Struthio camelus: one gene and its partner. The protein of the gene in region 2 purifies or fractionates together with the protein of the main gene of each other region. This does not show direct contact. Links are inferred from orthologs where the notes say so. Each region holds a gene or a part of one and is shown on either strand. Other genes may lie near its edges.

Region 1 (15,376 bases), on a different chromosome or scaffold from region 2:
ACAGAATAGCTCTTCATGACAGAGAAGAAACTGTGTGATGTGACATTCCCTTGAGCTGCTGTGCTGACTGGGCTGCCAGCTTGGTCCCTTCCTGCAGCACTTCAGTGCAGCTACTTGAGTGCACTTAAAAGCAAACAAACAAACCCCAGAACAATACACAGCAGTCCTCGTGGCAAGGGATGCAAGCTGAAAACACACACAGCAGTTGACAAGCCCAGAGTCTTGTTTTATGGCTGCAAACTGCAATGCCTCTGTGACAAAATTTGACAAGCATTCCTGCTGTTTAAACAACTATTGTGGCTCCAGGAGGTACCTAAAGATTGGGCCTGGTATTGGGAACTTTATTCTGTACAGTGATTTTCCTCCTGCTGATGAAAAGCATGTGGACACCCACAGAGACCTCTACAGTGGTAGAGTACTTCAGTTGGTGCTGCTTTTCCATAGCCTGGAACAAACAACTAGGCTGCTGCTTCAATCCTCTCCTCGTTTGTCCATAGCCAATTTATTTACTGGGGATGGGCTTTTTTTTTGTTTTTTTTGTTTTAAATGAGGGTTTATTGCTTTTTCATTATCAATAGTACTTAAGAGAAAGAATTGATATTTAACAGAACTAAAACTCTTTGAGAACTCAACAACAGGCTGTGTGTTGTGATTGATATGCTTTCACAATCCCTTTCTTTCCAGTTTTTCCAGAATGGCCTGAATTCTGTGGACAGCTTCTTTCCTAGCCTGCCGAACGCTGTCCTGGCCACCAGTCTCTATAGAATCCAGTTCCAACAGCAACTTGGTCAGCATCTCTTCCAGAAGCCGGTAGGATTTATCTGTCTTTTTCCCTACAAATTCATCCACCTCTTGTTCTAGTTGTTCAGCCTCCTCCGTAACATGTAGGATTCTCTGAATCTCTGGTGGGATGGCTGCAGAATTTGTTGAAGACTGGTCAGCAGCTTTACAGCCTGCCTCCTGATTCCCAGCCGAAAGCTTCCGATTTACATTGTCATACATTTGGGGCTGTGCACTGTATTGCACTTTGGAGTTTGAAAGGGATGGCTTGGCATTGAATGGAGTCGGCTTGTGATCATTCATTGTCCCAGAGAGCTGGTGATTGACATCAGAATAGTAGTTCTGCTGGTTTGCACTTTGCTCAGGTTTATCATAAGCAGTATCCTGCAATCAAAAGCAAAAAATCTTTAGGTGCCTTTCCCCTAATGCCAGTTTTTTTTAATCTCTCCTCTTGCATTAAAAAGGTGAGCAAGAAGAACCCGAGAGAGCTGGGAGGCAGGTAGCACTGTGACTGCCTTGAGGTGTTTGTGCCTAGAGCGTGGGGCAGAATGGGGTTAAGCATGACATTACTAGGGATCTGGGCTGCATTTTCTAGAGTGTCATGCACCATGATGTCATAATATGGGAATGGTGAGTCACCGAGTACTCATTACACCTGAAGAGGGCAAATGCTGAATGGATTTTGGCAAGAGCCTATTTGGATGTACTGGAGGTGACGCTCCTCTGCAGGGAGCACAATTTCTAACAGTTTCCAGATAGCAGTAACCCCTGTCCATGTAGCTACATCCTCCAACAGGGCTCTGCCAACACTGCTGCCTTGGTACCAAACCTCTGGGGAGCCATTTAATTCTTGATCAAACCCAAAGGAAGGGGAGATGAACCACCCCCCACCAAATGCATCACTTCCATGTATTTTTTGCTTTAAAAAATAAAAAAAAATCCTTAGAATACTTGAGTCTGCAAACTGACTCAAAGATTAATCGCACACCTCTTCACTGGGGGATTTCTGACAGCGTTAGCTGCTTCAGAGAGAAGTATTAGACAAGAGAGACCAGGTCTGACCCATTTCAAGCCATGCCCTGGAAGGTCAGTTATCTCCAGCACCTTTCTGGAATTACAGCTCCGGATTTTGGTCTTCAGTACACAAATACTTCTGCTTTGTTTCCGCGTAACAGAAGCCAGCTGCAGCCACAGAAAAGGGCATTCCCAGGAGACAAAACCAGCTCTTGAGGAAAGCAGCATAATTTAAGAGATTAACCGCAGTCAGGATGCGGCAGGCACACAAGCTGTAACAGGCCATCAAAGCATCAACTGTTACCTTTGAGTCCTGAGTGGGAGGACAAGGAGCTCCACTGCCAGTCCAGGACGGATGCGATTCGGAGATGAACGGGTTCCCATGTGCCGAAGCAGCAGGCCACGCGTAACGCGGCTGCATCCCGTAGACTGCAGAGGGAGCCCACGATTCCTCCTGGGGTCTGGGCTGCGGTGCAGGCCCCTGCGGGGTAATGCCTGGGTTGGCTTCTCCGTAGGGATACTGCGGGACAGGCATTCCTGGAGTCTGGAGGAAGAGGTAGGGAAAACAAGCGTTACCCCCAAGTCATTTTCAGTCAGCCAACAGAAATACATCCTGATTGCTTCAACCCTCCAAACAGCTCTGGGAAGAGCTGCAGTCAAACTCACTACCTGGTTTCTGCTTTTCTAGCCTATAAACTTATAGGCTTTGGAGAAGAGGGTGATTACAAGTTTTTATAAGAATGGGTGGGCTAGTTGTTCAAGACATGAAAGCTATTTAAACGATTTAAAGCCCAACTCAGCACAACATAAGCAAGTCCAAACACCCAGGGATCCATCAGGGGAGACACTCTGGACTTTTCCCTCTGCTGGGGCCCAGTAAAACTTCTCACATGGAACCAAGCACGCTCTGAGCACAGGAAGCTGAATGGTTGTCCCAAAACCAAAGTCAGGCTTACTGCAGCAGCCCAGGGCCCAGCTGGAAAGTTGCTCTGGCCAGGGCCTGCCTCTTACCTGTGGCGGGGAGTACGCAGGAACTTGCTGTTGCCTGAGAGAGGAGCCTTCTGCCGGGCAGTCTGGTGGGCTGTAGCTCCAGGGAGGAGCAGGTGATGGCGGCCTGTACAAGCCTGGGGACTCCGCAGGGTAGGGAGTCCGCGGTGGCCCGGAGGAATAGTAAGCTCGTGTTTGCGGCAGGCCGGCGTAATGCGGAGCAGAGCCGGGAGCTGAGGGGTATGGGGTGCCATATGCTCCATTCGTGTAGGGAGAATCCACCCCCTGGGAAGGAAGAAAGAGGTAAAGCGGAGGAAGCATGATGAACACAGCGCCGGGCAGAGGGGCTCAGCTCTGGCAGAATGGCATGCACAGGGCCTCATCTCAGGCCTGGAGCCAAGCTTCCATGCCAGATGCCCACACCACCCCGGAAACATTGCTGCAGGAACCACACTCTGTTCCCTCACCCAGGACTTTCAGCCTAGCTTCCCATTAAATAGAGCATGGCTTTTCATGGTGGTGGAAGGCCGAGAAAGCAGACACAGAGAAGGGATTTACAGTACTCCATCAACAGGGGCTTGCTGGGAACCAGCTAGCTCACAAGACCATTTTCCTCTTGCATTTTCCTCCTTCCTTTTCTCAAAAAATGTGGGTATCTCTCAGCACTCTCACAAAAGCTTTACAAACGTGCAGCCAAAATACCTTTGTGTGCATCTTCTGTCCTTGCCTCTAACAAACACCAACAATAGCCTTTTCCCACTTCAGCTGCGGATTCTCGCTGAAGAAAGGCAAGCTGAGCCTTCCCCATCTGTTCTCTGTCCTGGCATCCTGTCCCTCCTACTCAAAGGCATCACCAGGGCTCAGCACTGGTCCCCATCTCTTTGCAGTCCAAAGAGAACTCCACTAAGGACACAGACCTCCAGCAGGCAGCATCTGGCCTGCTCGTCCCATTTTTGGGGATCAGGCCATAACTGATTCAGTCAGGCCGATTCAGTCTGTGCCATGCTCCAGCTTTCAGCTGTTAGATTTAACTAGGTCAATTTAGTCACTGATTGAAACTGATTGGTAGATGAAAAACGCTCCAGGGAAGTTCATTTCCTTTTTCAATCTACAAACAGAAACAATCCAAGATGACTAGATCTACTCGCCTTGAGCCTAAGGAACAAGGCAGTCGGATCACTAAGCTGCAGATATGGCTGCCGCAGTAGAAACAGTCAAATTTGTGAGAACTTTTTATAGGCAATATCTGTATGTCCAGAGCATTTATGGTAATTTATTTGAACATATTTGAGTACTTAATTTATACTGAACATAAGTGTCTGAGCTATGGTAAGACGGAAGCTCAAGTGTTAGCATTTCAGCAGCTCACTGACAGCTCCCTAGTAGCTTTGGGCTTCAGTTCTTTGCCTGTGAGCTGTTTCATAAAGGAGAGACCGGATCACCTGCTCCAGGACTTAGAAACCAGCTAAAGCAAACCTAAACGTCACATAGAATTAGAACAAACCATAGTTACGTCTGTACAACCAGCAGACGACCTCTTTGGAAAGAGTAAAGCCCTTTTCTTTGCACGATATTTGTGCAATGGTCCCTAAAAAAAAAACACTACTGCTGCATTCAGAACAACAAATAATAAATCCCAGGAAGAGTGAGTCACGGGACATAAAGGGAACATGTAAGCTTTTTTTCCTCTTCCTCTCTTCCTGCAGCAGGAGCAGCTAACTCGTGCCTGCCCTCTACCTGGGGTCAGACACGTGATGTAAATCGTGCCATCCTGCAGACTGCCAATTCCTTCCCAGGGATGAGGTTGACCGTACACATATCACTGTCTGTGCAGCTGACATCTTTAGTTTGCTGTGCCTTTAGGTGTCGGGCATTAGATTCCCGAGTTCCACATTCACATCGGAGAACAGACAATTCTGTTTCTCGATAAAGAATCTATTAGTTGGGACCAGTGTATGCATTACATGGTGATTCCCAATTCTTACCAGTCATCTCCTGGCAGCAGACAAATCAAGGATGGCAGCGTTGCCCCAGCAGTCTCTTCATTAAAAAAATATATATATAACTTAAAAATTTCACCTTGACCTGGATATTAAGATAAAACTTTCTACCCTGTTCATCGTCTTCCATTTTCTTCAATTAAAAACACCTGCCCCAAACCAGCAGAACGGGAGACCAGATTCTTATTTAATGCAAAATGGTTTGCACATGAAGCTACAAGACCATTAAAAAAAAAAAAAAAACACAGTTACACTTAAAGACATAAGACATGAACTTAAAAATCCAGACAGTCTGGCACAGCTAGATAACATTATGATTCAGCGTCAAGAATGCTTTGAAAGTAACAGGTAATTTCTGGGTAGGGTAGAATCTTCAAGTTGGTCCTAACACTGCTCATAACTAGATGGCAGAAGAACGAATCTGTTTATTTCTGTGAGCTGAGAAGATTCAGAGGCCACCCACGCGCAGAAGGGAGCACAGGAGTTGCAGCAACATTGAGGGCAGACAAGGCATCTCACCAGCACGTAGCCGTGGGGGAGAGGACAGGGAGAGAAACCCGCGGAGCAGACCGAAGTGCCGCCATCCGGCAACGAAGCACGCTCTCGCTCCAAGCCCTGCTAACTCAAGGCGAGCAGGGCATTAGAGCCACGGATTTCCCAGCTCCAGCTAGTCACATCGCCTCTCTGCCAGGCCCCTCCTCTAGGCATAAGGCAAGAATGAGATCCGTGAGATCTCAGAGTCGTTTGGGGTCATTTCTCCAGTTATGGACGGGGGGGGGATCTGTGATGGGTGTCCGCAGGCTATGGACCTGACAGTGCTTTGTGCAGGAAGGGCCGGGAGCTGTCACCGCTTGCAGCACGCCGTTTGCTAGGGCGTTCCCGAGCGGGCTGCTAGCCTCCGTTCAGTACTTTGAAGCGCCAGTGCAGAGCATTACTGGAAGCTCCCGGAGCAAGGGGGAAAGGGCAAAGGGAGCCAAACGCCCTGGGACGTCTGCCGTGGGAGGCAACCGAGAGTCCCGGCTCCCGCTTCCAGCTCAGCCGGTCTCAGCCCCAGGCCTCCAGGCGTAGCCAGGCCTCAGCAGACACCTCGGGTTTCGAGGGAACCACGAGGGGAAGGTTTTCCTCGCCGTACCTGGCCTTGCCCGTCAGGCGCGGAGGGACAGGGGCTGGAGGCGTAGGCGGTTGGAGGCTGCGCGGCCGCGCTCCAGTAGCGGGGCGCGTACCCAGGGTACGGTGTCTGCTCCTAGAGGGCGGAAGGAAGGAGACTCGCTTTCTTGTAGCGGCGAGCGGGAGGCCGCCCCTTCCGGGAAGGGGGGCACGGGCGAGAAGCGGCGGCGGCGGCCCTGGCGCGCGGCGACCGCCCCGACGACAGGGCGCTCCGTGGCTGGCTCGCAGCGCTGGCGCCCGCCCGCCTGCCTCGCCCCCCGCCCGCTTCTCCCTCGCCGACCCTCCCCGGCGGCTCCCGGCCCCCGCCGCCCGCCGTTACCTGCGCGCCGCCCGGGCGCTCCCAGCCGCCGCCCCCCGCCGCGGCCGGCGGGCAGTAGGACCCGGGGGGCCACGACGGGCCCTGCGCGGCGCCGCGGCCCGGCGGGCACCCGCGAGGCTCCATGGTGGGCGCCGCTGGGGCCGCTACCGGGCCGGACGTCGCCGCCGCTACCGCGCCAATCGCCTCGCGGCGCGGCCGCAACACCCGCCAATGGGCGGCGAGCGCCCGCGGATATCCCGCCCGCCTCTCCGCCGGCAGCCAATGGGATGAGCCCCAAGGGCAGCGGCGGCGCCGCCCCCGGCGCGGCTTAAAGGGGCAGGGGCCGCGGGGGGCGCACCAGGCACCGGCGCCCCTCGCCCCCGCTCCCGCCCGCGGCAGGGCGGCCTGGCCGGGGGCGTGGCCGCGACGAGGCCCCGCCCAAGAGCGGGCGTGGCCGCGACGAGGCCCCGCCCGGAGGCGTGGCCGCGGGGCGGTTCCGGCGGCGCATGGCGGCGCTTCCGCTCGGCGCGGCGGCAGCGGCGGCACCATGAACTACATGCCGGGCACGGCCAGCCTCATCCAGGACATCGACAGTGAGTGTCGGCCGCCGCCCTCCGCGCCGCCCCCGCGGGGGGGAGACGGGAGCCCCCGGGCGGGGACCTCGTGTCGGGCGGGGGAGCCGCGGGTGGGCCCCGGCGTGGGGCGGGTGAGCCCCCCAGACCCCGCCGTGGGCACCGACCCCCCGTGGGTCGGCTGAGTCCTCTAGGGAGCCTCCTGTGGGCCTCCCCGGAGCCCCCCCGTGGGCACTGACCCCCCGTGGGTCGGCTGAGTCCTCTAGGGACCCCCCCGTGGGCCTCCTCAGACCCCCCCCGTGGGCACTGACCCCCCGTGGGTCGGCTGAGTCCTCTAGGGACCCCCCCGTGGGCCTCCTCAGACCCCCCCCGTGGGCACTGACCCCCCGTGGGTCGGCTGAGTCCTCTAGGGACCCCCCCGTGGGCACCGACCCCACGTGGATCGGATGAGTCCTGTAGGGAGCCCCCTGTGGGCCCCCTCAGAACCCCTCCGTGGGCACCGACCCCACGTGGGTCGGCTGGTTCCTCTAGGGACCCCCCCCGTGGGTACCGACCCCACGTGGATCGGATGAGTCCTGTAGGGAGCCCCCTGTGGGCCCCCCAGACCCCCCCCCGTGGGCACTGACCCCCCGTGGGTCGGCTGAGTCCTCTAGGGACCCCCCCGTGGGCCTCCCCAGACCCCCCCCCGTGGGCACTGACCCCCCGTGGGTCGGCTGAGTCCTCTAGGGACCCCCCCGTGGGCCTCCCTAGACCCCCCCGTGGGCACCGACCCCACGTGGATCGTCTGAGTCCTCTAGGGAGCCCCCCCGTGGGCCTCCCCAGACCCCCCCGTGGGCACTGACCCCCCGTGGGCTGGCTGGTTCCTCTAGGGACCCCCCCGTGGGCCCCCCAGACCCCCCCGTGGGCACCGACCCCCCTTGGGCTGGCTGAGTCCTCTATGGAGCCCCCTGTGGGCCCCCCATACTCTCCCCCGTGGGCACCGACCCCCCTTGGGCCGGCTGATTCCTCTAGGGAGCCCCCCGTGGGCCCCCCAGACCCCCTCCGTGGGCACCGACCCCATGTGGGTCGGCTGAGTCCTCTAGGGAGCCCCCCCGTGGGCCTCCCCGGACCCCCCCGTGGGCACTGACCCCCCGTGGGCTGGCTGGTTCCTCTAGGGACCCCCCCCGTGGGCCCCCCAGACCCCCCCGTGGGCACCGAACCCCCTTGGGCTGGCTGAGTCCTCTATGGAGCCCCCTGTGGGCCCCCCATACCCTCCCCCGTGGGCACCGACCCCCCTTGGGCTGGCTGATTCCTCTAGGGAGCCCCCTGTGGGCCCCCCAGACCCCCTCCGTGGGCACCGACCCCCCTTGGGCCGGCTGATTCCTCTAGGGAGCCCCCCGTGGGCCCCCCAGACCCCCTCCGTGGGCACCGACCCCATGTGGGTCGGCTGAGTCCTCTAAGGAGACCCGGGTGGGCCCCGGCGTGGGGTGGGTGAGTCCCCCAGACCCCCCCGTGGGTCAGCTGAGTCCTCTAAGGAGACCCGGGTGGACCCCGGCGTGGGGTGGGTGAGTCCCCCAGACCCCCCCGTGGGCCCCGACTCCCCGTGGGTCAGCTGAGTCCTCTAGGGAGCCCCCCCGTGGGTCCTGGCATGGGGTGGGTGAGCCCCACGTGGGTCGGGTGACCCCCCCCCAGACCCCTCCCGTGGGCCCCCGCTCGGTGGCCCTGGGGCTGCCCCCCCGCTGGGGCAGCGGTCAGCGCCGCCGCGGCTGAGCGGGCTCTGGGCTCTCTTTCAGAGAAGCACCTGGTGCTGCTCCGGGACGGCCGCACGCTGATCGGGTACCTGCGCAGCATCGACCAGTTCGGTACGTGTCGCCGGCCGCGCTCGGCTGCTTTCGCCGCTCCGTTTGCGGGGCGGTTGGGGGGGGGGGGGGGGTTGGCTTGGTCCGCGCTCAAACCTTGCTGCCAGCCAGGAGAGGAGCCGGCGCCTCCTGCCCCACGGCAGGAGCCGTTTCTGAGCAGTCCGTCCGCAGCCGGGGCACGCGCGGCACCGAGCTGTTTCCTGATTTTTGGATATGTTTCCAGAAAGAGCTTTAAAAACACTGTTTGGGGTTACAGAGAGAAAACAGAGGGGGGGACGTTTAGGTGGTTTTCTCGCTCGCGATGCGCCGTCTGCGCTCTGCATCAAACCCGGGTGTCCTTACTGGCGACTCGGCAGCCCTGAACGTGGTTTGTGCTGCCGCTCTGGCTTGTCGCTCGCCGCAAGGAGGAGCCAGGCCCCGGCGGGCAGGGTGCGCGAGGGGACGGGGCAGGGGACGCGTGGGGCTGACAGCAGGGTCCTGGGCCGGCGGTGAACTTGCAGGAGACACCAACGCTGGGGCTGTGCGCGGAGCAGAAGTTCAGCCGCGCTGCGCCTCTCTGCTAGGGCCGTTGGCAGGTGGTGCCTCTCCGCCCGTCCCCCGCTGCGTAGCGTCAGGACAGGGAAAATACGGCTGGCTGCCGTGTGAAAACGCAAGCGGAGTTTTTTGGTTCTGGCCCGAGTGAAGCTCTGCCGCTGTCTCCAGCCCTGCGGCCGTGCTGCAGCAGCTGTTTGGGCTCGTCCTCTTGCAGCGTTCGAGGGACCGGTCTCCAGGTGGAAACGTTTGCACCAGCTCTTCCTGAGAGTAGTGGTTTTTGCACGTTTGTGGTTCTGCGCGAATGCCCAAATCTGGCAAATTCCCTACTCTTTTCCTCCTCCTTGCCCCCACCAGAAAGGGCTTTGCAGGGGTGAGGCACCTGCCAGAGGATCCTCGTGGCAGAGCAGAGGCCTCTGAATCGGGCTGCGCGGCGCTAGGTGAGATCGGGAAGGCTGTCAAGGGAGCCGCACGCTTGCGTGTTTGGCTGAAACAAGGGAGAGGCGAAGAGTTTAGCCTGGACTTGGCGCGATCCAGGGCAAGTATTAGTTGTGTGTTCAGGGTCTGCTCTCCCTGTTCACTTAAACAGGAGTAAAATCAGCCCACGGTCTGGGAGCCTGGTCGCAGCGTGGGCTGTGTCTGGGTCAGGCAGACAATGCTTTTTGCATGTGCCAGTTGTGAGCAGAATTACATATTTCCTTGACTAAAAACAATCTTAAGTTCTAATGAAAAAGGTGCTTGCTGTGCATAGAATGATATGATTTGAAAGTCAAGCTTTAAAGCTTGTTTGTGTTGTGTTTTAAAAATTCACTTAGGTGTTCCTCTTCTATGGGAGCTGGCATTGTAAACATCCTTTCTGAGCATGTACCCCCTCTTGTTTATGCGAAGGGTAGCTGCAGGGTTTTTTTTTCCGGATTAGGCAACTTATTGCAAAAAACAGATTTACGAGGTCTCTGGCTTTATAGATAATGCATCTAACCTTGGTTGCTAATTGGAGAAGTATCTGTTCTCTGTCAATCACTGCGGTTTAAACAAATACATCAGATGTGATTTGGTGGTTTACTGAAACTTCTTGTAAAAGCTGTGTGGCTGTTTCCCTCCCCTCTGCTCCCCTTCCCTTCCCCTCCCCTCTGCTTCCCTTCCTCCTTCATGATTTTGTCAGATGTTAATTTGATGCTCTAACTTCTCTTCTTGTGAAATCAGCATTTGAGAAGTATCTCTCAACAGCCTGGGATTTTTGTGTTTTATGTCTGTGCTTAAGATAAAACGTCTTAGTCCTTGCCCCAGAATCTACGGCACCAAAGATAACATCGTTTTCCCCTTGGCCCTGACTCTCATGCTGTCAACACATGGTGTTTGGGTGAATAGCAACCCTATCAACAGTTTGAGTTTCCTGGTTCTGTTTCCGACGCTGCTGCTGCTGCTTCTCCCTGTTCTGAGCTTGCTTGTCCCATCTCTGTCCTGTGTGCACAGGCCGTAAGAAGGAGTCCCTGCCCTCAAGCTCCTGTTCTGCCCATGCTGCAGCTCCTAGCGCAAGGAACTGGGGTTTCAGCTGCTGCCTGGAGGTGGCTGTGTCGATTGCTAAAGCTGAAGTGCAGCAGCCGCGTTTCAGTAGGGGAGAAATCTGGTTCCTTTCATGGTCTGGTTCAAAGGATCTGCCAAGAAGCAGTGGAGGTGCTTATCAGTGACCATGCCATCTCAGCTGTGGGTGTGTTGCCTGGCTCAGATGAGATGTTCTCTTTAGCTAGAAACAAAGTGAAAGATGGATGTTTTCTTTTTCTCTTGATCGCTGCAGCAAACTTGGTGTTGCACCAGACTGTGGAGCGCATTCACGTGGGCAAGAAGTATGGGGACATCCCTCGAGGCATCTTTGTTGTGAGAGGCGAGAACGTTGTTCTGCTGGGGGAAATAGTAAGTAAGCAGCTCTTTCTGCCTGGCTCTCTTGTCTACTGCTGGCCTGGAGCAATGGCTCAGTTGTGGTCCAGGGTTAAATAGCTGGTGATATCTGTAGCTACAATTACTCCGAGCAGCACTGCCAACGGAGCTGGGTCTCTCCAGCCAGAGACAGCATGTGGATTTTTTCTGTTGCTCGTGGCTGAACCAGTGTCTGCTGTGAAATATTGCCACCCTCCTGCTGGAGAAGGCCGTGCAGGGAGAGTTATGTAACGCTCAGCGCTGCTTCTTGGAACGTGCCTTGAGGTGTTTGAGAGAGGCTGAAGTGTTTGAGCACGTACTGTTCCTGCAGTATAGAAGGCATCGTTTAGTCCTAGCTGGCAGTCGGGCTCATTCTGAGTGCATCCTACCAAAAGTGTCCTAGTGTAGCTGAGTGCATGGGAATCAGGTGGGAAGGGTTGCAGCCGAGACCCCTCTCCCTTCAGCTGTGAGTCGTCTTGGATGATTTGGGGGTAAAGAAGACACTCGGAGCAAAATACGAACTGGTGAGTGAGTGCGTGCCTGGAGGAGACCTAGAAAAGCCCTGGCCTGCATGTGGCATTGCTTGAGGGTGTCATTAGTGGCTGGCTGTGGAACGGTCACCTCCCTGCTGCTGCATACTAAAGGACACTGTTTGACATGCATTCAGGAGGAGTCAAGTACTGTCTAATTTTTTCTTCACTTTGGCCCCCTTGGGTTACACTCAGCTTGGCTGTTCCGCAGGAATCCCCCTCTCCCTTGGACTCCTGTTTTCAGTTTTTCCTCCAGTTGCATTCAATCAGGGTTTCTAGGGCCCTTTTCTCAATGTGGTTTCCTGCCCACGTTTCCACCTTCGGGGTGCCTGCAGCACCTCCCTGTTGCATCGCATCTGGCTCTTGACTGGACTATGGGAAGATGTGTGGGCACAAGCTGCCCAGACCCCACCGCAGTCCGGCTGCATGGCTCAGCTCCTCACCTCAGGAACTGTCCCACTCCAATGACTTTGGCAAGAGAGATCAAGCCAGTCATCTTTGGTACAGCAATGCCACCCCTTCCTGGGGGCACAGAGCCTTGCCAGTTGTTTGCAGGAAGCGCTCGGATGTCACAGAAGTCCAAGAATGTAGGGTTGGTGTGTTAGCACCCCTGTGGAGATGTGAGTGCAGATCTCCACCCTGGACCTTTGCAGTCCAGGTCCACCCAGCTGCTTCTAGCCCCCTCAGACCGGTTCTGCCTCTGGCCAGCGTCATGTGAGCGATATGCGCTCCGCAAAGATGAAACCGGCCTGGGCCTGAGTGTTCCCTGCAAGCTGAGCAGTTTCAGGAAAGCCTCGCGAGCAGAGCTTCGGGTCTTGGATGTAGCATCTGCTTTGCGATGCTAAATGGCCTGTTTCTCTTGCAGGACCTGGAAAAAGAAAGCGACACACCTTTACAGCAGGTCTCGATAGAGGAGATCCTGGAGGAGCAGCGGGTGGAACAGCAGGCCAAGCAAGAGTCAGAGAAGCTGAAAGTGCAGGCGCTAAAGGAGCGGGGCCTTTCAGTCCCGCGGGCAGACACCCTGGACGAGTATTAGCTGTTCTGCCCCTTGGACAGTTTCCTGTGAGGTGGAGCGAGGAGTGCTTTATGATTTGACCATGTGTTGACAGATCTCTTTGCAAAGGCTGTTTTTATTTTAAGATTGTTTTCGATGACAGATAGCTGTTAAAATCATGCCTTTAGTTTCTCTTCACAAGACCCTTGTTGAGGAGTGAAGGTGTTTGATTATCCTTTAAGGTAACCAAATGCTCTGGTGTGAGTAAGAGTTTATGTTGTTCAGGAGGCAAATCACTTGATCCTTTTTTTATTTTTTTTCCCCCTTCTTATGTGACTCTGAATGAGAGCGTTCCTTGACATGTAAATAAATCCTCAATCTCAACAATGTCGGTTTTGCCTGTGTTTGGGATTTGCTGCGTTCTCGTCTTTCTGGGTTCTGGATGCTGGATCATGGGACAACCAACCTTCTGTTAGTCTTGAGTGGAGACTTATGCCCACTGTCCTCCCTGCCAGGGATGCTGTGAACCTGGGGGTGCCCAGGATGGCAAAGAGAGCAGGGCTCTTGAGTTTGGCTGTAGGTTGTGCTCAGTACTAGTAAAAGCTTAGGTCTTGCTGTAGTGACCTCCCTCTGCCCAGGGAGGGGAGCAGGACCTCTTTGCACCGTGGTCGGGTACCTCCTGCCCCCCGCAAGAGTGGGAACGCTTCTAGGCTCCCCATCTGCTCTGCAGGTCGTCAATGCTGATACCTGCTCCCATCTGAGCAGGCCTCAGCAGCTGAGCTGAGTCCACTAATGACCCACTAATTGTCAGACCTGTCTCACCTGAGCTTGGCACAGCCCCCTGGGGCTCTTCCCCTTGCAGCAGAACCAGCCCCACTTCCTCTAGCGGCATTTCTTAAGCTTGGTGGGTTGATGATGGTGGCAGAGGCTCCAGAAGGTGGGAGATATTCTTGCTGTTGAGTTTGTTCTGATGCTCTTGGGTGTCTTACATCATCATTAAAGTGCTAAAATCTAAGACAGCTGCCTTTCTACACCAGATGGTAGCAAACAGCAAAAGCAGTGGTTGGTTTTGGGCAGCTGCCAGGCTGTGGAGCCTTGTACGTAAAGACACTTCAGGCCAAACTCTGTAAAGGCAAGAAGGAAGAAAATTACTCTGTGTGTAGAACAGACTCTCTGTGAGACTGAAGAGCACTCCTGAAGGGAAGGAGCATGTGCAGGCCTCTCTCAAGTGCTGGGCTCCAGCAAAAGAGAAGTTGTGAGGATTCAGATTGAGAAGGTTGCCTCCAAGAGCAGGTTTTTGCTTCCGACAGCCAATTTCTTTCAGAGCGGTGGGAAAGTGTGACGAGATCTGCTTTACCCAGTAGTGCAAATGTTTAGTACGAACAGGTTTCATTGTAGCCCTCCTGAAAAGCAAGCAGCCAACATGAACATAGTGATTACCTTCCTGCTCTTGTGTTAAGCTTGGCCTGGAAGTATGAGAGTTTGAGACCGTCCCCTTCTCCCAGGGTTGGATAGGCAGTCCAGAAGTATCATTTTTCCCATGGCCCATCAGTTTGTTCCTGTTGAATTTGGAGAACATACCTGCTAACATCTGCTCTGCTGCTGTTGTCTACTTCTGCACTGTGCTTTATAGGCTTAAATGGGATACTTGAGAGTTTGGTCACGTATAAGGCATAAACAGAAGTAAATGCACTGGGCAGACTGGGCCATTTCGATGGGGGCAGCGCGTAGCACAGGCGATGCGCTTGTGGGTAGGCTCAGCGGAGCCGGCACCGGTTGCGAACCGTGCTGGCGCCTCGGGCAGAGGTGGCCGAGCCCCGGAGCTGGCCCGGGAGCTCTGCGCCACAATCGGCACGGGAGGCTCCTGCACCTGGAAAAAATGGTGTGGTGGTGGTGGTCTCCCAGGCCTGCTAAAAGGCCTTGGCTGTTGCTGCAGTAGCAGCGTGGCTCCCGCGCTCCGGAGGGTTTCTCCTGCTCTGCCGGTGGTCCGCAGTGCTGCGGGGTGGCAGGACGCGTTGGAGCGAGGGGAGGGGAAGCGCTGGCGGGGGAGGCAGATGCGGGCCGTGGGTGTCTGTGCCGTCCCCGCCGAGGTGGAGCGTGCGGAAGGCGAAGCTCGGAGCGGCTCCGTGTCCTTCCCGGCCCGCTCAGGTGCTGCTCGCTAGGGGAGCCTGTGCGAGGGGTGTCCCGCCCGGGCTGGGGACAGCCGGGGGGCTGAGCGGAGCCACCCACCTTGAATACCTGGGGGAGGCTGAGCAGAGCCCCTCCCTTGAAATACCTGGGAGGGGGGCTCAATGAAGCCCCCACATCTGGAATAGCTGGGGAGGATGAGCAGAGCCCCCAATATGGGACTTTGGGGGGGGGATTTAGTGGAGCCCCCACATCTGGATGGGGCTTGATGGAGCCCTGGCATCGGGCACGCGAGGAGGGGCTCGACGGAGCCCCCACGTCTGGACGGGGCTTGATGGAGCCCTGGCATCGGGCACGCGAGGAGGGGCTCGACGGAGCCCCCACGTCTGGACGGGGCTTGATGGAGCCCTGGCATCGGGCACACGAGGAGGGGCTTGATGGAGCCCCCACGTCTGGACGGGGCTTGATGGAGCCCCCACGTCTGGACGGGGCTTGATGGAGCCCTGGCATCGGGCACACGAGGAGGGGCTCGATGGAGCCCCCACGTCTGGACGGGTCTCACCTGGAGCCCCCACGTCTGGACGGGGCTTCGGGGGGGGTCTCACCTGGGGCCCCGAGCGCTGC
Region 2 (15,031 bases):
AGATGAACTGAACAAAAAAACAAAACCACTGTTTTTATTTGCTCTCAGAAAGACAAAGTGTCTTAAACTACAGTTAACTACATAAATTTAAGGATCATATTGAAAATGCTTATTTGACCCATAAACCCTTTGTTTCTTGGTGTACTTAGACAAGGATTTTTGCTGGCCTCAAACACTGTAATTTGAGCTTCTCTTCTGGCTTTCAAATGAATAACCCTAGTTTGTAGCCTTACTTTAACAGATAAAACCTTTTTTTGTTAAATAATGGATCAGCGCAAACAGTAACTGGCTGGTCTTCCAAATCCAGCCTGAAGAGTCCTGGGATTAGAGTGTAGGTGTCTGTACCAATGTTTTTAGACAACAGACTTTAGATCACTAAGACAAAACAAGATCATATGGAAAAAAATAGAAGCTATATAAAACCTAGGAAAGTGAAAAGATCAAATACTCCTTTTTTATTTTAAGTATTCATAAACCTTAGCATTATTATGTATCATTTTGAAAAACTTTTTCTATTGTAATCATATAGTGGGTGCAAAGCAGTCTTTCTAAAATGATAAGTATAACATGACAAAACGTTGCAGACTTGTCTCGTGCAAAAGTAACACCCTTTGCTGTCAAGAGCACTTACTTTACATTGTACCAGACGAAGATATTCAGTTCTACTGAAACGAAACTAGTTTCAACAAACATTCATAACACTGCAACAAATAAAAGTCTGGACAGGTCTTTCTTATTCTTCCCAATGCTTGCTTTTGTTTTTGCTGAAATTTACATTTTCACGAAAATCAAATACAAATCATCTTATATGAGAAAGGAACTATACCTTAAAACACAGAGGAAACTGTCCTAGTTATGTCACATCTAGTAAGATTTCTATGACAAACAGAGTAAGAAGTAACTGATTTAAATGAAAGATTAGAAAAGGCAACTTGTTTCCAGATCCCAATAAGTGTTACTTCCAAACTATCCAAGGTTGAGCCAAGTAAACAGCTATTTCTGAATAGTCCTCTATTAGTATCTGGAAGCAGGAAATAAAAATAACATTATAACATTAGTGCCTACGAAGGATAGGTTTTGACTGAAAATTCTATGTAATAAGGAAAAAGCCAGAAGCCTCCGTTTAGCAAAAATGATAACTAGAAGTTGTACAATAAAGCAAAACCCAATGAAAACATTTATAGCAAAAATTCAAGGTGGATATTTGCGATCATGATTAGATGAGAACCTAGTGAAGATGGATATTTAATGTTGAGGAAGTTACTTTATTTTATGTAGTAAAGACTTTGAAATATACAATAGGGGAGAAAAGGACTGAAGTTTGTGGAGAAATCATCATGTAAATTATCTGCATGACCTAAAGAAAATCTGGAAAGGTCAAAAGGGGTGGTAAATAACTTTATTCTATGGGCCTGTAAACCCAGTTTGTTCTGCAGACCTAACTGTTTCCATGGAAGTCTGAGAAAATAACAGGTTTTCTTTTGAAATATCAAAGCTTTCACTTTCTTGGAGAATTAATGATTAAACCTTTATAAGACTATTTTAGAAAGATAAGTAACAAGGGGTAACACGTATCCGTATACCTAGAACATACCTGATACTACCTGATGCCGTAAACCAGTGGATTTTTCAGTAAAGCAAACGTGAACCTTTTCTCACATAATGAAACACTCAAATTAACTAAGACATAGATTTCACCATAGTCAGATGGAGCAGTTAACTCTGGAAAAAAAAAGACTCACCAAAACTATTGCTGAAGCAGACTTTAGAAAACTAGGAGCGCACTAGCTGGGGTTTTGGTACTCTCTTTCTCATGCTTATCCTCAACTGAATGACAGAGCAAGGAGTGCCATGAGGCCAAGACGACACTCATTCTGGTAGCTGAGAGATCCTAACACGAAAGAAAAATTTTGGTACCTTCATATTGGCGCTGACAAACTGTCAGTGTAGGTCATCTCTGAAGACAGGCTTTCACCTCCCCTGCTCCAACTCCCCTGCCTCCATTCCCTTAGTCTGTTTGGTAGGCTTGTTGGATTTGTTCTTTAATGCACACTGAAAATTCTTTGTGGTAGTGCCTCCTAGTACAGATTTGTGAAATCTACTATCAGAAAGGAGCAATAGCTAATTTAAGTAAAGGAATTCCTTGGTGTGTATAGCTGGCTAGTCCATTTTGCATGATAAGTCTTAAAGCTGAATATCGAAGGATTCAGTAAAATTCTCCTGCACAGAAGAGCAGAGAGGCACCAATTTGCAGAGGCTGACTGGCAACAAATTTTTCAACAAAATCCACCTTTGAGTTGCCAGATAGAAATCCTGCCCTAAAACAACCATTGTTTAGACAGAAGAATCCAGAAAGGAAGCCTGCATTTTTTTGTTACACGATTAGCCAAAAAGGCCCAGGCAAATGACTTGAACAGAAGCCCACTGCTCAGAAGCATATGTTAGTACCTGTGTTTAAGACTCGGCAAACTTAATTTCTGACATCTCTTAGTGAACAAACTGTTTACACCTCAAAAACCAAGCAATCGTTTCTGCTATTAAAAAAAAAATTCAGTTCATATGCAGTATTCAGACTAAAGATTGTCTTACTTCCATTATGTCACCATAGAGAGTTATAATAAAAAACTTCCCTCTAACTATTTTTTATATAAATTGTGTCTCAACACAAATAAAAATTAACATAACTTGTATCTCAGCAAAAATAAAGAAATTCATAGCTTTACACTTCAAAAGGGAGATATTAGTATATGCATATACAAATTCCTACTGGGAATTTAAAACGAGATAAAAAACCCTATATACATAGAAAAGATTCATCAAAATCAGATGGGATAAATGGGTCTTGTGGTACTTAACATTGCTTAAAATCCTAATGTCTAAGTTAGCCTGGAGATGTATGTATTTCTTTTCAGTTTCTTTGGGAATTTAAAAGAGGGAATTTTACCTCTTTTTCAGCATATCAAAAACTCTCAGAAATAGAATTTTCATTTAAACTATTTGAAATGTTATTTCACTGTTATTATTTATGCCACATACTGTGTATGAGCAACAGAACTCACTCTTGATATATTTTCGAGCTCCACATTGAGTTTAGGAAAAAAGAAGATCTAGTGGATTATCAAACTATACTGCTTTGGATGCCATGACTTTCCTCAGTTCTTACTTCATTCAGAGGGAACACTTCTGGATCACAGTTCACATAAAGAATTTTTGGAATTTGTTCCTATGCACCAAGCACAAAATATAGATCACGCTACAGCTCTACTTCCAAGTACAGACAAACTTGTATATTTATAAATGCTCATTCACACATAATTGCATGTTGCAATGGTTCTGTGTATATTTGCAAGCAAAGGTACAGCATTCTCATGTCTTCCAACTCGTTTCTCAGTTTCCCTCACATTTGCCAATTCTCACATAGAAGCCTGATAATTATATAAGACAAGCACAGAGCCCAAAGTAATAACTTTGTCTCTCATCAGGGATTAAATGAGGCTCAACTCCATATTAGCACTATTTTCAGGTCAGTTACCCCTAATAGTCAAGGAGTAAGCCCTTCTTCAACTTGCTGTAAGGAGAGTATACTAGAGCTGGAGCAGAAGGCAGGGTTTGAATTGGCTGTTTTTGTCTGTCTTTATTCAGAACACCAAGATCAGTACATCACTCCAACCTTCGGTGGATTCTCTTTTATGACAAGACTTTCAACACTCACTGAAGTATATACAGAACACAAACACTATCCCATATGAGTATTCACACCCATCATGTACACTTTACCATAAAAATCTACTATTTGTCAATTAAGGGAAAGATTACGTGTTAAGCATGTTTAAATGCTTTCTTGAGAAAAGTGGTATTTTAGGAAGCACTGAGCGACTCTTCTCTTTCAGCACTTCAAACCAAAAAATGTATTCCTTCAATTATAACCATTAGCCAGCTAGTTTCAGCCCTTGAAGGCTGTAGTCTTCAATCACTTTGACTGCCTTAAACAGAAAAGAGACTCTGAAGAAGAGCTGACTACTTAAACATTTAACCCAACATATCACACACTTACATCTGGCATTTCTGTAAAGTAGAAAAGGGTCCTGCAGCTGGAAATCGAGGTCTTTAGTAATTGGTTCTGTTCGATTTTCCATGCTCAGCCTGTTCATAATTGTGAAGCCATGCCTTGGAGAAGCCGATCTGAAAATTACCAAGTCGAAATCATATCAGGTCAAAGAAAAATAGAAACAACCATAATCTTTTGTTGTATAGTTTTCCAAAATTGTTTTTCTTTTTTAACAGATATTTCAAAAATCTAATTCGGTTGTCAAGGAAGTAACAATTGAGTCTTGCAGTCTTTCATATAATCCTTTTAATTATTTCAAAACATTCTGTAAGAGAAATGACCAAAGCACCACTGTTCACAATAACTGCAGAGACTATGCAGCATCTGTGACACTACCATTTGAGGCCCAATGATTTAGTCACATCAATTACATATACAGCATTAATCATGTAGGCATGCCCAGTTTTTGCATTGAGTTATAAGGCCTACAACTTCTGAACAGGCAACATATTACTAAATGACACTCTGTCCCAGACCACTAGCATCACACTACCCAATCATCAACACCTAGCCTATGGTTTCTTGCTGGAGATGAAAACAGCAACTAGAAAGATTCAGTCATGGACCAGAGCACGGTCTGTTGTTTAATATTCAGATAACGATTGCATGTGACAACCGTCAGCCCAGATAGGATTTTCAATACCATCTAAAATATAAGAACATAAATCATATTATGCTGTTTCATAGGGGTTACACTCCTAAGTCAGTTAGATAATTTCTGTTAACATGAGCTGTTAACCCTACCACCAATTCTGACAGAAGCTATTACTGTCAAATTGAGTTTGACGCTAAAGGACAAGATAATGGCTAAATGTTTGGGAAAAGTGCCAACTCTGGTATTCGCTGATAGGTGGATGTCTCTATGAAACCCAAAGCACAGGAACTTGCATCACAGGATGGGAGGTAACAGAAAATTCAACAAAAGGTGGAAACCTGAAGAAGAATCCTTGTTTGCAACAGCCAGTACTTTTTCCCTCTTTTTTGTTTTTAAATAGTCCACTTCCACTGGTGTTAACCCAGTGGGAAGTCCGATTTTTGAAACTTCCTGAGAGTTCTCCAAGATGGGATAGGTGATAAATAATCCAGCTCAAGTAAAATGGTCACATTACTTCATTACAATGGTAATAAGGAAGCAACAAAGGCAACATCAGTTGCCTCCAACATGTGGTCTGTTGGTAATGTTTCTCCAACAAGATTTTATGACTTTGTTCAAAGCCACAGAAAATTCAAAACTGAAACTGATAGGGAGGTCAATGTATGATGTCACCCACAGCTCACAACCTGTTCAGTATTGTTCACTGTAGGGCAGCAAGGGTGGGAATTTTTGACGTAAATGGAAACTTCCTCAGCTTCCCTTCTCTACAGGGAACAAAAAGAACCATGGAAGAACACAGGTGCTAGAAATGCCAGGCCTACATGTTGTCAGTTCCAGAGATCTACATCCAACTTCCCAGAGAAATACTACTTCTATTGCACAGTACACAGCTAGGCACCCGATGCTATTGCTAGCACAAAGAAGGGCCAGTTCTTCCATCTTGCAGTGGTAACTTTAATAGCATCTCATATTATCTTTTTGTTCCCCTTCACTTACCCAAAAAGGAGGTTAGAAAAATTACTACTAATGATTCCTACTGCTGGTAAGAAGGAGTTCAAAAGATTAAAATCAGCATTCCCACCTCCCGCAGTTCATATTCTCTTGTGCCTTCTCCTTGTCAGTTTGTCACTTCATACATAAGACTCTTGCCCACTCAAAAGAATCCTTTGCTTTCTCAGTGCTCCTATTGGAGCCTCAAAAGCATAAAAGTTGAAGGACAAAGTCTGTTTACCTGCTTCAGTGTCCCTTCCAGCAGCTACTGCAAGATCTGTCAACTATGTTATTTTCTGCACTTAATATTAGTCATGCAAAAATTGGGGCGGGGGGACACTACTTTGGAAACCCTGTCTGAAGATAAGACAGGCTTTACAACAGATCTAGTACACAGAATATTAGAACGGAGGATCTGATGGATGCTCTGAAAAGCATTGTTTGTAAAATATCTGAACATCGTAAGGATTTCTCATCTCAACAGACCTATTCTTAAGTGGAAATATTTAAATGTAAGTGAAAAAACTGCAAATGTAACATACACCTAAACATATTAATTAAAAAGAAATCCTCCACAACCACAGCCATTGCAGAGCAAAAGCATTAAAAACATCCAAAACCTTGGGAGGAAATATGCATGGAAAATTAGTAATCAAAGACAAGTAACATGAATGTTCCCCTACACAATAAAAAAAAAATTTGTTTAAATCCTGTCATTCCCTAAACATAATGAACATCATTATTTGATTTTTTTTTCAGATACCTTTTAAAGGACAAATGCTACATCCTATTTAAAACAATATCACAGATTTCTCTGGTTCATCCATATTGAGTTTCAAATTATATTTTGAAGTCTTATTCACATTCAAGGTGATGCCTCCTTCCCAATGTTTTCTTCTATGCATTGTCTTCTTTCAGTTTTCAATTTCTTTTCACCTTGGAATACGACAGGATTTGAACATGATACTTCAACTGGCCAAACTGTCTCCTAGCTAGGTTTTCCACATCCACTTTTCATGTGCAAGCACTAAAATATAACATTCTTACCTTGCGTAAACAAACAGTGTTCCTTCCACATCAGTCTTCTCCTAAACAAAAGGAACGTTAAAAAGTTCAGGCATAAATAAGCCTGCATTATCTTTGTTTTAACCGTATCAACTGGAGTTACACCTCTCTGACTTAAGCAACGAAAAAATAACTAAACCCTACCTCATGGGCAGTGGTGATAGATTACAAATAGCATAGATCACTGTGCAGCTGATGCTAGTGTTATGACAACATATGAGAACTATTAGATCTGCTTTTTCTTTCTTTAATAAAGCCTCACAGTCAGTTCCTAATCTGTTTATAGCCTGTCAGCCAGGATAAACGATGAGACGTCACTGGAAACAAACAAGAAAGCACACTTAAGTGACACAATAGATACTGATGCTCAATATCCTGTCTATGTCTGGGGGCAAGTACTTTAGGACGCAATGGGGGGGGCTGTTTCCAGCTAAAGAGCCAATAACATGAGCGTAAACACTACACTCAAGTATGTTTGAGGGTGACTCTCAAATCTGATTCTGTGAAAAGGTTTTCATATAGACGCTGTCCTCATGAGCAACGTCCAAGACTGATTAGGGGGAAAACATACAGAAAGCATATTGCGCACATTCTTCAAACACGGCTGGGGGCACAGACCTTAAAACTCTTATAATAATAACAGTAATAGCAATAACCCAAGAACAATCCGTTAACAGCCTCACAAATTTTCAAAGGATTGCCCAAGATATTTTTTCTTAAACAGCACTTTTTTTTTTTAACCTTAAATTGCTTTGTAACATTTGCAACGCTGACAGTTTTCTGTGTATTGCGGGTCTAACCGTCACTAACCGTTTTCAAACAGGGGACAGCTCTTCTTGCTCACGGCCTGGTTCAAAACCCCATCTCCCCCTCCCCCCCCAAATCCTGCAGAGTAAAAAAGTCCCACAGACACTTCAAAGCCCGCCTGTTAGGCGCCACGGGGCTCCGCGAAGCCCCACGCAGCCGGCGGACAGGCCTCCCTCGGCCCCGCGAGGTGCCCGCGCGCAGCCGTCGCGGGTGGGGCGCCCGCCAACCGCCCTCACACCTCGGCGCCCCCCTCCCCCCACCCTCAGCGCGGGGGGCGGGGCCCCGCTTCTGCCCGCCCCTCCCCCTCCGCGCGACGCCCCGCCCCACCTCCCACCCCCCGCGAGGGCGGGGTCCCCACTCGCGCCGCGGCCAGGCCGGGCCCGGCCGGGGGAGGGGCGGGCGCACGTACCCACTCGTTGGCGCGGTGCCCGAAGGTGTAGAGCGCCACCTGGCTGGCCACGTCCACGATGCTGCTGATGTAGGGGTCGTGCTGCTGCAGCGCCGCCAGGCTGATGTCCAGCCCCTTGCCCAGCAGGGCGGCCCCGGCCACCGCCGCCGCCATTTTGCCTCCCACAACAACACAGGGTTCCTAGTAGGCGCAACCAATCCAATGCCGAAAGGAAGGGTGTGCTTCCCCCCCCCCCTCCCCGCCGCTTCCCTTCACTCCCGCCCAGTCGGAACGAGAGCGGGCGGGAGGGTCGGAAACCAGCCGCTGCAATCGAGCGCCGAGTGCCGCTCGCTCAGGAGTGTTGCCCTTGGTAACAGGCAAGCTGCGGGCCCGGCCTGGCTGGCGGCCGTTGGCCCCGGGCTCGGGGAAGCCGGTGGCGGCCGGTCCCGGCCGCCCGCCCCGTCCTCAGCGCCTGCCCCGCGCCCTCGCTTGGCTCCCGCAGCCGGGCTTGGCTGGCCCGGCTGTTTGTGTGCTCCCTTTCGTTTTCCAGCCTCTCAGTGCTGAAAGGCTCAGAGGCCGCTGACTTCCTTGTCGCAGCAGGCAGTTGAGATCTGCCAGTAACAACCAGCCAGAGGTTTAAAAGAGAGAGCTAATCTCCACAGAGACTTGCCACGAAGTTGCGAGAATTGGGCGTATCAAGCCAGGCGTCCAGCATGCGCATACACTACGCCTGTCAGCGCGCCGAGGTGAAGGCGTGGTACGCTCCAAAAATCTAGATCCTCGAGAGAAGGGAGAGCCACAGGAAAATGTGGAATTGGAGCCTCGTATACCCACGAGCTGATGTACGCACAAGAAAATTCAGGCATAGCAGGGTGCCACTGCAGAGAATATATGTGCAAGAGCGCACAAAGTTAGCGTGTGCGTCTGTAAGCGCATGTGTATTTCCTGTGTCCTTACCAGCACAACGCACCCCTCGCGTGTGTGGGAACAGAAGCTGGTTAAGACCTATAAGTACACATAATTCTATATTTGCTGGCATACGCTCGGGCGTATTTCTGCATAGCACTTAAGCAACAAAGAGCACATGAGTACCCACCAAGCAAACAACAGAGGAACAGACTGATAGGACCGTAAACTCAGTTTTCCTATCAACCAGAAGTATTTTCTTATTAATCTGTTATATCAACAATTTACAGCAAATACATCAGCTTTCTGTGGCATGCGGATAAACTCAATACATACTGTTACACGTGAAAGATCTGGTTAACAGTCCGGCCTGACATCCCTGTGAAAGGGTGACTTTTTAACTCTGGACTTCATCACATCAGACTGCTGTAGCACTTTTGCAAGGAGTTACCACTCTGCACAGCAGCAGCAGGGCAATATATTTTCTTCTAAAGAATGGGATACTCTGGAATAACTAAAGGCAAAGGTAGTGCACGGCACCTGTTTGTTAGTTTGCAATATACTGGATGATACATTTTTAAAAGGGTAGTAGCTGGACGTAGAAAAGGAAGACCTCCATTTTGTTTTCCTCTTGCCTTTGCACCCTGGGTCAGGTGGGACAGAATAAGCAGAGACATCTGCTCTGCGAGCAACTGGTTGAGCCCAGGGCATGAAATTTCTGTAGTGTAATATGGGGACAGGAAAGAGCTGGGAGACAGCAAGATAGGGATTTGTAGTATTAAATGTAGGGACAGTGAGTCTCTTGAGTTAGGAACAGACATTCAGCTAGCAAGAGAAAAGTCAGATAAAGAGATTTTTCTCTGAGACTTAGGAGGGAATGTGTAGGTTTTGCTGTAGTCCAGAAAGCCACTGAAAATTGCCTTACTAAGAGCACGGATCTACAGCTTCCTCTGCAGGTATATATTGTGTGGGGGGGGAAACCTCTTTAGAGACTTTTATTATGATCTGCCTTGCTCTTATTTTCTCTTTTTCTAAAGCTGCTTTGTTCTAGCTAGGACTCTAATGAAACGTAGCTTTGGAGTTTAAAAGTTGTTTAGGTGTTTTTGATATACTCATGGTAGAGGAAAGGTTCTCAGCTGTTTTACTGCAAAGCTCTGGCCGACTCGTAGATCCTGTAACAGCAAGGAAGATGCAATAGTTCGTGGTGGACAAGGGAAACTACCGTGCTTGGTTTAGAAATGACAGGGTTAAAATGGTAAGAAAAAGAAAAAGAAGTAAGTAGGAAAGATAATTTCTGTTGCTCAGGTAGTGAACAGATCCACAGTCATTTCTTTTTGGTGTTAAATGATCTTCAATTCCCAGGTTCGAGGCACTGCCAGTCACAGTCCTCCTCATGTGCTGGAATTTCTCATTACCATCCCCTTGCCGATTCTTTGTCATGTCTCCTGCTTACAGGAGACGTTTGTCACCAAGGCATGGAAGTGTCACTTGGAGCCCTACTTCTGCCGTTGCCTTGCAAGATGCCTTTGCTACCTCCAACAGTAATACTTTAAAAAAAGGTTCCCCCACTTGTGAAGCCTCTTTCAATTTTTACAACTTCTCTTGTGTCTGTTGTTGTCCCTTTTGTCAGGCCAAGCAGTAGCCAACATTTGAGACCTTGAGACAGGCTGACTGGGTCAGGTATGTCTCTTGCGCCCTTCTCTTCGCATACGAACAATGCACTAACTGTCCTGTTTCCCTGCACACCATGGAAAAAAAACCCAACTGTGAAGTCAAAATCTTCAAGTAGGCCTGTCAAAAAGTTTTGCCTGTCTGTTCTCAGTGCCCTATTCATGACTGCGTCTCCCCTTTAGTACCAATTCCTTCCTGGAATACTGTGTTTTTCTAACAGAGCTTGACAGGCAGTTCCCCAGCCCTGCGTTTATAGTCAGTGAATTTATATTGCTTCTGATCAGGCTATTTCATATTTCTTGCTGCGCTGTGTGGAAGCTTCTGCTGGTTCCAGCTGTTTTCCTGTTTAAGTGGGACATAATTGCACCTTCCATTTAGCCTGAAGCAAAGGTACTTAATAAAACTATTAGCTTTACCCTGCTTTATGGAATCACTTGATAGTAGACTTAAATTTTCCAATGAAACAAAGTCTTGTAAGTAGAGAAACACTATACATTCTCCCTACATCTAAAAAGTTAAGAACATTTTAGCAAAAAGTCACAATTTTAAAAGGTTGAATCTTTAAACTGTATTTATTTGCTTACATCGGTAAGTCAGTAATCCAATGGTCTATAATAACTATCAAATCAAGTTAGAATGATTTTACTGTAATTTGTTTATGAAACAAAGTCATTTTTTAGCTTTGAAAATGTCGTAATTTCATGAAGTATATAATTAGAATGTCACGTTTTTGTCTTCCACCCACGTGGATACTATTCTATTAAAAAACTATGTTTTTGAAACAGTATGAAAGGGATTTTGAGTAGGTAATATCCAGACTGATGTAAGGCAAAATCTATACAGCATGCCATTCTTAAGGTCTCTGTTAATAGCAAACACTAAGTAAGCTATTTAGGCCAAACCATTTCACAAGAGTTGTTCAAACCAGATTTTAAGTTCAAACCAGATTTTACATCTTTGCTTCACATTTAAGAATCTGTGTCACTTGTGAAGACTGAGCCTTTCCTCCTGCAGCAAATTATTGACACCGACAATATGATTTCACATGAATTCATTAGGTGACAATGCTGAGTTTATGCAGCCCCTGTGCCAGGTCCCAGGCATTCATTCCTGCCGTGCTGGCATCTCTGTACGATACTGGCACAAGTGCATGTGTGGCCACAGCATGAAGCAGTCAGACTGGGAGCTGAACTGATTGAAAAACAAATGTTCATCCTGCTGCTGAGATCGCAGATTCAATTGACTGCTCTCCTATCTGTTTACATACAGTTCCTTCTTTGAGTGATTTTTTTTTTTTTTTTTTTTTTTTTTACTAAATGGCATGTCTCACTTAGGAAAATGTATAGCGTTGAACACCCCATTTGCTCCACTTCCTCATGTTGCACTCCTCTGGAGCTAATAGCTCATGGTAGTTGCTCTTTGCTTCTTATTCCTTCCTCAAGGCTGCCATAATTTCCTTCTCACTCTGACCAGTGGCAACACCGCTGCCCCTGCCAGCAGAAAGGTGCTGAGACAGCATTAATAAGCTCATCTCACTCCGTTCACTCCACTTCAATGTCTTTGCTTAGTGCTTCCCAGCATGCCGGCTTCCTGGAGAACAGTAGGTGAGTAGGTGGCTCTTGAGGAGCCGGACAGGTCTGACAGGGCTGGTTCACCCATGTTTCCCATGTCTCTGGGGATGTGCTTGCGCCTCCTCAGCAAAGTGCCTCTCACTGCTGGGGAACCAGTGCCTTTGCAATCTACTGGAGGCTGACGACATCCCTTCCCAAATGCTGTTGAAATGCATGGTGTTTTTACCCCACATTTACAACAGGCTCTCAGTAACTAACTTCAGAGTGTGCTTTCATCAAGCTGAAAAGTCTAAATTGTTGGTTGTATTGTTGGACCACCTTTTAATTCCAATCCTAATGGGTAAAGCAGTTTTAGTCTTTTTGTTAGTAATTTACTACTCGCTGAAGGATCCTTAGCATATACAGAGACAGACTGCATAGTTTCATCTGTGCAATTATTCAAAAATTATCCCCAGACTAAAATTAAATCTGATTAGTTTCATTCAAATTCAACCTCCGAATAAACCACAGCACGTGCAGTTGTTAGCATCCATATGTGTGTGGTTAACATTGCTCCCTGGTGAAGTTTATGAGACTATTTTGAGATTTTCTGCAAAATGTTAGTCCACACAAGAATAGGATGGTATTCTTTGGCATTGTTACTTTGGAAATTCAGATACTGTGTCTGAAATGATTAATTACAATTTGTTGTGACTTTTCCATAAAACCTTGTGTTTTTGTGTATAAGGACCTGGGTTCTTACCAAAATACTATTGCTTGTTTTGACTTACATTTTGCTAAGTGATTCTGTTAGTAACTTCTAAGCTTTTTTTTTTGTTGGTGTATATTTATTTACAAGATGCTTAGCATTAGCTGTTTATAGGCCCAGCTTCTACCAATGGCATGCCTAGAAAACAATTAAAAGAAAATTAACCAATGTAGTTAGCCATAGTGTAGTTTTGTCTCTATAACTTCCTATGTAGATATTCTTCTGTAGTGAAGAATTCTTTTTGGTTTAACTTTAATCACTTTTCAAAAGGCATATACTAAGCTGAAAAAAAGATCTAATATCAGGAAAAGACTATGTATTTCAGGAGCAGGAAGGGAGAACTTTTACCGATAAAATTCCATTGAATTAGAGTGTTATATAGAAAAAAAAATCTTTTTAATATACATTTAATCTGTAAAAACTCTGATTTTTATCAGCGTTAGATTTTAAATGTTTTAAGTGACTGTAATAATATTTCAGTGTTTTGTCTTTTAGTAGGGCAGAAATGAAAAGATTATAGACCCCACAAAAGATTTTTGTATCTGAAATATTTTTCCCAACTATAATAGTTGATTCAATAAAAAGTGTTACCTCTGCCCATAAACTTTGCCTGACTTCTATATGATCGCGAGTAGAATTTCTATCAGACCTGTTAATAAAATTCTAAATTACTTCCTCCAGCCTCTCCCAAAGCCGATAAAGTTATAAACATACATTGTGGCTTTTCCTGCCAGAACAAAGAAAAAATCCTGTCAAATCTCATTTTTTCAACTTCTTTCATTATTTGATGTATCAGAAATCAGTGACTTCCTTCAGCAATAGTCCTCTTAAAGTTTAACTTTACAAGCTACTTTGCTGTCAATGCAATGCTACCTTAGTTACAGTTAAAAAATTGACACTGGATTATATTATGAGAAGGTACTCTTTTGGGACCAGTATTTGAGCTCCTCAGTAATTCTGTTACCACAGCTGTATGTGCTTATAATCAATAAAATACTGTTGATATCCATTACCTTCTTGCCATCCTGATAAACTGCCATATACTGATTTGATCCATCAGCTTCATTCTTTACACAGTTGATTGGCCAGGCAAACCACCTAAACACTGATGATAGGCCATGCCTGCTATCTCCGATAGGTTAATGAGATATAATAGTAATTATACATTTCCAAGCACATCTTTCTAGTAATCACCATTTAATTTGGCAGAATCATACACCTGTAGCTCTAAAAGAGCTATTTTCCAACAAGTTACAGAGAAAATTGCCTCTTTTATTTACTAATGTGAAAAGTTCCATTAGATAATTGCATTAAGCCAGGACCTCATTTTTACACCTCACCTGGCACAGGAGCTCTTGCCACGTTAGAGAAATGGTATCATTACAGAGATGTGCTGCTGCTGCTGCTGCTAAGGAGCTGGTGGCAAGCCTAGAGGAGTATCTGGTCTGAGTCTGGCTGGGGCAAAGGGATCCCAAGGTAAGGGTTCTGGAGAAGGGGAATGTGCTCTTGCTGCTAAAGTATCTTTTTATGAAAACAAATTCTGCATATTGAAATTAGCTTGGCTGTGTAAACCATGGAAGGGAAAGCTCTGAATTACTATCACACCTGTTGCTTTATCAAGGGAGTTCACATTACTGCATTCTCAACTGACAAAAATGCTGTTGCTTCTTGCAGTGAAGAATGTCAGTGTCTATTATAGACTCTGGTAAAGGATTCCATAGCATTAGATGCAGCAAAGGTGAATGGAGTTGGTGGGAGTGTTGTAGCACTGCTGAAATCCAGAGTGAGCTACAACAGATAAATGATTATATAAGCAAGGAACTGTACGTGAATTGTGTCTACGTGTATATTGTTGTCATAGATGTAACGTAACTGAGTAAAGTTATTTTACACAGTTGACTGCCTGAGTTAAGGTGGGTGTTCTGCCTCAAGTGTCCTCAATAAAATTTTGTAGCTGCTTGTGCAGATTCCCAAAGGGAAATTCTTGTGATGCTGATAGCTACTTAGTATCTGATTCTGAAGGTAGCTAGCGCTTATGAAGGTTCTCACAAACGTATATTCCGTAGTTAAAGTTAGGCTTAAAAGCTGTTATATTTTTCTCTTAATATGGGATCAGCTAATCCATAACAGTATGATCTTTCCATTTGGCATATCATTTTGGGTATTCATTTTTATTTATTAC

What was found.
Region 1: the proteins of DCP1B (region 2) and BAG4 purify together in Homo sapiens (affinity purification with mass spectrometry; 3 studies listed by BioGRID and IntAct, counting the BioPlex papers as one, with this or other methods). This does not show direct contact. The link is inferred for Struthio camelus from reciprocal best matches to the Homo sapiens genes DCP1B and BAG4.

What each region holds. Positions count from the first base shown.
Region 1 is NC_090968.1:7,088,855-7,104,230, reverse strand, and holds the start of BAG4 (BAG family molecular chaperone regulator 4), read right to left. Parts: upstream 6,406-15,376; 5' UTR 6,391-6,405; coding exon 6,268-6,390; intron 6,196-6,267; exon of another isoform or gene 6,025-6,195; coding exon 5,914-6,024; intron 5,503-5,913; exon of another isoform or gene 5,366-5,502; coding exon of another isoform or gene 5,301-5,365; intron 3,067-5,300; coding exon 2,806-3,066; intron 2,339-2,805; coding exon 2,099-2,338; intron 2,006-2,098; coding exon of another isoform or gene 1,885-2,005; intron 1,165-1,884; coding exon 664-1,164; 3' UTR 1-663. Other genes in the region: G protein-coupled receptor kinase 5-like, read left to right, coding at 6,794-6,839, 8,591-8,659. UniProt on the Homo sapiens protein: Inhibits the chaperone activity of HSP70/HSC70 by promoting substrate release. Prevents constitutive TNFRSF1A signaling. Negative regulator of PRKN translocation to damaged mitochondria.
Region 2 is NC_090942.1:69,905,002-69,920,032, forward strand, and holds the start of DCP1B (mRNA-decapping enzyme 1B), read right to left. Parts: upstream 8,178-15,031; 5' UTR 8,128-8,177; coding exon 7,975-8,127; intron 6,782-7,974; coding exon 6,741-6,781; intron 4,183-6,740; coding exon 4,055-4,182; intron 1-4,054. UniProt on the Homo sapiens protein: May play a role in the degradation of mRNAs, both in normal mRNA turnover and in nonsense-mediated mRNA decay. May remove the 7-methyl guanine cap structure from mRNA molecules, yielding a 5'-phosphorylated mRNA fragment and 7m-GDP.